Linked DNA regions of Danio rerio. The protein of the gene in region 2 interacts with the protein of the main gene of each other region in a biochemical or structural test. Links are inferred from orthologs where the notes say so. Each region holds a gene or a part of one and is shown on either strand. Other genes may lie near its edges.

Region 1 (3,658 bases), on a different chromosome or scaffold from region 2:
GACAGTGACAACAGACATGAGACGCCTTATAAAGAGTCATATAAAGACCGCAGGAGGCACGCACACACGCAGGCAGAGCAGAAACGCAGGGACGCCATCAAGGTATGTGTGACGCTTTTCAGGCTAACAGACAGACACATGGAAAAAAGTAGCTGACGAAATAAAAGTCTTTTCTGGTTTATTAGTACACTAGTATGACAAACTAGAGTAACCAGTTTGGTTTGGATTCAAAGTAGAGTGATCATTCTTTTTGTAATTGACTTTAAAATACAAATGCCCAGTCTTAAAGGGGAAAAAAGGTGATGAACGTTTTAAGAATACAATAAGCAGTTTATACAACTGACCCTGTTGGAATTGCTGTTTCTTCTTTCTCTTCTTTTTCTTATCCAGAATGAATCGCTATTTTGTTTAGATTTTGATCTAAACATGCCCGAAAACTCACAAAACATTGCATCTGCCCCAGAAGTAGCAAAAATTTACGTTTGTTATAGGTTTCCGAAGTGGGCGTGGCAAAATGACATGACAGCTCCACCCATGCACATTAAACAGACTAGCCTCCAAGCTACGATTCACGCACACATATTAAAACTGACAGACCTGCCTGAAAATTCTCACGTTCGATAAGATTCCTCTCCTGAAGACATCTGCATGCCAATATCGAGTCACAGTCATAGCACCACCTGCTGACAGAAGGAAGTTTGGCATATATTGATGATTTCTGAATTTTTTTTTAGATATTTATCAGCTTAATATATTATTGTTCGCTGTGCTCTGTCATCCTGAGGCCACCGAGTGGTCCCAGGTCCCTTTCATTGCTGCTTGCAGCTTTAATTTGACTTGTGTTTACTAGTTTAGGAAACATAATAAATCTAAGAAATAGAAAAAGGTAACACTTTCATTTAAGGTGTCCATATATATGTTCCACTACTTACATATACGTACACCAATTATAAAAATGAGTTAGTTATGCATAATTACGCACAACTAACCTATATTTAGTAGGTACATGTAATTAATTGACATGTAAAACAGTAGTTACATAAATAGTTACACTGTAACAAGGACATAAAGAAAATGTATCAAATAAAATCAAGAAAATTTTGTGCTCATTTTATGGCGGCTCTTTGGAGGGGACCTAAGTAGGATCATTATTATTATAAAAACTATTATTGCTATTATGATTATTTTAAAGCTCTACGTTTGCTGTTGTACGTCTGTTGATATGTTTTGTTGATTTGCATCATTAGGCCACAAAAAAATACAAAAATAAATCAATTTCACAATGCTGTATATTATTGCTACTACCAGTTAAGTGAAAGAAATAATAATATTGTAATATGTCAATGTAAAAATAAAGTGTAAGAATCAATTTAATTTTAGCAGTTGTAAACGTATGTTATAATGTTTATATTAAATCTTAATTACTTTTTATTTTTAAAACATCAGGCTTTTATTTTGCTGGAAAACTACAGCGAGATTAGCACATTGTATTTCCAAGTGCAAAACCCAAACTCTTGGCAGATACTAAGATGAGTTGTGTTTACTTTGCACCAAGCCATTGAAAACCCTAAGTAGCTTGCTTATAAAATAGCACAGTTCTGCATGTTGCAAGTTTAACTCCTTCAAATTATCTCCATGGATCTTTAATCTCACAGAAAGGCTATGATGACCTGCAGTCTATAGTGCCTACATGTCAGCAGCAGTCAGACTTCTCCATGGCCACACAAAAGATGAGCAAAGCTACAGTCCTGCAAAAGAGTGAGAACCTTCAATACCTATTTATATGCTGTTGTCATCTTGTGTGGAATGAAAAGGCTCAGCAACTTTATATGTGTGTGTGTGTGTCTGTGTGTGTAGCAATCGACTACATTCAGTTTCTCCACAAAGAAAAGAAGAAGCAGGAAGAGGATGTTTCCACACTTAGGAAGGAGGTGATGGCGCTGAAAATTATGAAAACGTGAGTAGTTGGTTATTTAGAGGGGGGCCGGAAACATTTTAACAGCTCATGCAGACAAGTATAGATTCAGTTACACTCCTGTAGGGCTTTTTCAGGTTTCATAAGGCTTTATCTGACACCATCATTCTTCTGTTAAGAAAGATAAAAAACACCCTTTTAGGAGAACAAAGTTTTCAACCAAAAACAACTATTTTTAAGAGTTTTTCCTGTTCGTTTACAAAACAGCATTTTTGGGGACTAAAAATGGGTCACAAGGTAGAAGTTTTTGAAAACGCTGCAATTGTTGAGTGTGTGTAAACGCCTGAAAAAACAATCTTTGAAATTTATGACGTCATGTGTGCTGAATGGTATGCATTTAGTGTAATGTAGATTAAAGACAAGCACAAACACATAACATTGACAGAGTATGTGGAGGTGTTGTTGTTTGCTAACAATCCATAATCTAAGTGTCGATTTACTTCATATTACAACTAAAAGTGGAGACGCATCTTACACACACACACTGCAAATTTTATGTACACACCAGCAACAAGCTGCCAATGACCTTTTGTCACTTCCTTAAAGGTAGCACTAACAAGTAGACCAAATACTGGCCTGGCATATGTAATACAGTCCTTTTGTAAATGTGTAAAGCAGTGGTCACACTAGAGTTTGAGGTTGCAAAATTCTGTCATATTACGCTGTGAAACTGGGCAGGATAAAACAAGATGATTAAGACATCAAATTATGGAGCAATTGCTTGCTTTATGAAATTTCAGTACAGAAAAGTCACGTTTGGAATGGATCATGCAGTTACGTGATGCGATTTCACAGGTCAGGGTTCACTGAACTTTTGAACGCAGTGAATCTTGTTGCAGGAGCTTGTGTTTCTGGTCTGTTGAATTTGCATGCGTTTGAAAGGAACTCACTGTACCGTTCACACTACACGACTTGATTTTGTGTCTTTAAATCGCTGTGGTGTTTACACTACGCAACACTACCTAAATTATCCACAAGAGGGGGTCACACACTACATGATCTGACAACAACTCGTTCCACAACAGCTCAGTCAAGCACAGCCAATAAAATGTTGAGGGAGGAGACAGCAAAAAAAACTGAACACTATTGGCTGCTTGAGTGCTGATAACATCACTGACCGTAGCTATGTTTCCATCCAAAAATGCTAAATAAATTTATGCGCAAAACTGGATTATTGCATAAAAAATATATATGTATAAAGCAGCGTTTCCATCCAACAAGTCAAAGCCAACAAAATTGTCTCTTCTTGATTATCTGGCACCAAATATCAACAGTAAAAACGGAATTTGCTGCGGTAGGAGAAGCTGCGCGAATCTTTTCATTTAATAAATGACTTGCACTTTAGAAGGCAATCCCGACACGCAGTGGGCGCGTGGTGAAATTTGAAGGCGTGAGACGTGGAGCACTTTTCTAAAAGCTTTAAAGGAAATGTTTAAAAATATTGTCAGTCAGCTGATGCATCAGCAGATCAGTCGCTCATTTGCAAGGTTTACTAAAAGTGAGGTCCAGGGGCCTGTTTCAGAAAGGAGGTTAAGTAAAGTATTTTAACCCTGAAATGAGGGAAACTCTGGGTTTTCCGTTTCAAAATGGCAGGTTTGTCAAACTGGAGAAACCAGGGTAAGTCAAGCCTGTTTCTGAAAGAAAGGTAACTTTAACTCAGAGTCAGTTACCATGGTAACTTAC
Region 2 (3,658 bases):
TGCATTCTGCATAAATAGCTCCTGAATCTGCACATCCGGTGAACAAATTTCGAGCTCTGCAATTTTAAATTCAAGCAGGTTCAAGCACTTTGTCCAAAATCCAAGAACTTTTCTAACTTTGAAAACACTATATTAAAAATCAAGAATTTTCCAGGATTTTTTAATGCAGGATTGCATTATATATGTGATTATGTACCAGTAATAAAAGTGTCTCATAATTATGCAGGCAAAATGTTAGCAGGAATTGTAAACATGGCCTGCATTCTTAATGGCACCATAGGCTTGAAGAAAAAGACTCTACAGTTGTACAATACTGTGCAGACTCTCCTCAATACATTAAGTTATTTTAAATTGTGATAGCACAATATTAAGGTTTTACTGCATTTCTGATCAAATAAATGCAGCCATGAAATTACAATTCTGCATCCTCTTCAAATACAAAAGTTTCTCTCAAAGTAATTCTGAATAATACATAAGCCTGTTAAATATTAAACGGCCTATTGCAAACACAAGAGAAGATGAGGGATGATGAAGGGCTTACACAAGGAATACCGGAGGAGGCAATGACCATACCGGTGGTGGAGACAACATCAGTGGAGAGAGGAGACGGAGTGACAATGACAGCACTGGTGGGACCTGGGAATGATGGGTATGATGATAGATGGACATTTAAAACACAATTAATAGCCCTCATTTGAAATTACAAATTTTTTTTTTCAAATATTTCCCAAAAAGCTGTTTAACAGAGAGACAAACACATTTTCAAACATAGTAGTTTTAATAACTAATTTATTTGCTTCAATTTCCTATATGGTGCAAGATACTCGTATTTAGCCTAAAGTGCCATTAGGTTAATTGAGCAGATGCTGTGGCGGTCATGGAGGAGTGGAGAGCATGAGACTGATTCCTGAAAGACCTATTGGAACCCACAAGGACCCAAGATTCTCACAGAAATCAGTCAAGTTTGGTGTAGGAAAAGTCATGGTTTGGGGTTACATTCTGTATGGGGGCGTTGGAAAGATCTGCAGAGTGGATGACTATCAAAAGTCTAAGGTATTAAGACATTTGTGCTGCTCATTATATTACAAACCCCAGACGAGGGCGAATTCTTCAGCAGTATGGCGCTCTTTCATATTTTAGCCTCAATATCAAAGTTCCTAAAAGCAAAGACGCTCCAGGATTGGCCCGCCCAGTCACCAGACATGAACATTATTAGCTTGTCTAGGGTAAAATGAAACAGGAGGCATTACAGATGAATCTAAAGAATCTTGATGAACTCTGATGCTGTGTTCACTCCAGACGTGGAACGCGCGGAAAAATTGCGCTATTCGCTCGTAAATAGCCGCGTGAACATTTGAGTTTACTTGCTTCATTCGCGCGTAAACCCCCGCTTTATTTGCGTGTCAAATCTGCTTCATTCGCGTGTCAAATTCACTTAAAAACAGACGCGGATTTGCTTGATGGGCAGGGCATCTGTCTGCCCGGTGACTCAAGCTTCATAGCTAAATGGCTAACATGGATTTTATTAAGAAAATAACAATGTTTATGTGCTTTATGGAGACTGAAAAACAGCGTTGATACGTTTAGGGTTGTGTCTGAGTCCACTGCATCCTTTCAGAGGTGCATCCAGCTCTGTGAGCTCATAAACTCCTCCAGAAACTGAACCTGGATCACGGAGGCTTTCAACGATGCTTCTGACTGAGCCCAGCCCAGTTTGACTTGTTGTCGGTGTCGCCTGGAGGATTTCCCCCGGGAGACCATCAACAGGTTCTACGTCACAATCATGCCCCCACAAGAGAAAGCTTCTGATTGGTTAACGCGGTGCGAATGTCCGCTGAAGTTCAGATTTTCGAACTCGAGAGATTCGCGCGAAACGCTCGTTAAGCGCGTCAATTCGCCCTGCGCAATTCGCGCATATCGTGCCGCAGGATGTCTATCCGCCCGTTTGCATTGACTTAACATGTAAATCACTCGCGCTTGACGCGCGTGCCATGTCTGGTGTGAACGCAGCATGAGAGTCCTGCAGGAACGCTTTCTTTGCCATTCCAGATGACTTTATTAATAGGTGATTAGAGTCACTGCAGAGATGTGTGGATGCAGTCCTCCAAGCTCATGATGGACACAATATTCATTCTGTTTCCACTGCAGCATGACTTTATATTCTATACTGGACATTATTTCTGTTAAGTGACAAGACTTTTGTCAAAGCAAAGTCAGACCTTACTGTCTTAATTAAAAATTAATATATAATAATATTTTATTTAGGTAAAAGAAGCGTAATCTAGAGGCCTTTGCCTTTCATATAAGCCACTTCTGATACCAAATATTCTGATACCAAATATTACATGGTTCGGGATCTTTAGAGCTGCACATCGATGGATTCGCTCTTCAGTGTTTGAACTCTCAGTAGTGATATTATTTGCTGTTCCAAAAACTTGGATAGGCAACAAGACTTTTGTCAGGTAGTGTATTGTATACTAATGTCTGATTTATTTAAATGCTATTGATGCATTTTTTAAACCAAATCAAACCCACATCCTAGACAACAGAACCGACAATTATGTAAACTATCCCATCGCATATCGAGCATGTTACAAAATCGATTTCAGGAGAGACACAAACCTGTCAGTATGAGCTGAGGAGACGGCAGTGGATTCGCCGGGACAATCGGTCTCTGTGAGTGTCTGGACTTTTTGCTAGAGATGGGAGGCTGGATGGATTTGGGCAAGGCGAAGTTGACTGGCTGTGAGCCGAGCGAGGCAGAGCTGGAGACTACAGGCTGTGGAGATGGCGCAGGGGGCAGCTCAAAACTGGACCTGTGGCTGACGGTAGTGGCTGCGTCAGTGGGAGTCACTGTGGAGGAGGCGGTGTGCGTTATTACTGATGAAGGCGGGACGCTCTGGCTGGGCTGGGGGACTGTAGTGACTGTGCTGAGAGGCTGTGGGGCTGAGGGGAGAGGTGGAGCTGGGGGAGGCAGGATAGACGGGACGGAGGAGCTCACTTGCTCTGTGAAAAGAGGCATGTAGGGCTGTTGGTAGGACGGACCGACGGAGTTACCATTGTCCTGGTTGGCCACCGAGAGATGGCCAGGCAGAGGAGCAGAGGGCATGAGGCGGTAGTCCAGAGGCAGAGAAGGAAGCTCCGTGGAGAGCGGCAGGGATGAAAGCAGGGAAGCCTAAACAACAAAAAGCGGATATAGATATTGAATAGGGATGTAACGGTATTGTAAATACCGTCATACCGCAATATTAATTTTTTTCGATATTACCGTAGTCGCATGACTCGGTAAAACTATAGGTCTTCTGAGAAAATTTGCTCAGGCGAATGAAGCGAACGGAAGGTACCGGAAAACTACAATTCCCATAAGCCCAGGCTTGGCCATAATCCCTTGCGGTCTGTTGTCGCTACAGATCCAGTAATGCGGAAATGGAGTGTGCTGCTAGAAGCGGGGATCAAAAAGAGCTGTAAAACTCTAAAGCGGGTGTTGTCGCCGCGCGCGTCCTGAATAGTGGTTGAAAGTTCTTATCAGCTGTGTTGTCGCGCGCGTACTGTAAAGCGGGGACGGAGGGTATGTCGCGCCGCGGGGGCACTTTTGATCATTTTGGAAGGGAACATTCTATCAAAGACTAAAAAGGGCATGTTCACTGCACAGGTTGAG

What was found. The genes of interacting proteins can lie anywhere in the genome.
Region 1: the proteins of mlxip (region 2) and mlx form a complex in vitro, tested with the Homo sapiens proteins (2 studies listed by BioGRID, with this or other methods). The link is inferred for Danio rerio from reciprocal best matches to the Homo sapiens genes MLXIP and MLX.

Annotation. Positions count from the first base shown.
Region 1 is NC_133178.1:36,008,984-36,012,641, reverse strand, and holds part of mlx (max-like protein X), read left to right. Parts: coding exon 1-102; intron 103-1,655; coding exon 1,656-1,758; intron 1,759-1,857; coding exon 1,858-1,957; intron 1,958-3,658. UniProt on the Homo sapiens protein: Transcription regulator. Forms a sequence-specific DNA-binding protein complex with MAD1, MAD4, MNT, WBSCR14 and MLXIP which recognizes the core sequence 5'-CACGTG-3'. The TCFL4-MAD1, TCFL4-MAD4, TCFL4-WBSCR14 complexes are transcriptional repressors.
Region 2 is NC_133180.1:73,337,288-73,340,945, forward strand, and holds part of mlxip (MLX-interacting protein), read right to left. Parts: intron 3,176-3,658; coding exon 2,623-3,175; intron 637-2,622; coding exon 542-636; intron 1-541. UniProt on the Homo sapiens protein: Binds DNA as a heterodimer with MLX and activates transcription. Binds to the canonical E box sequence 5'-CACGTG-3'. Plays a role in transcriptional activation of glycolytic target genes. Involved in glucose-responsive gene regulation.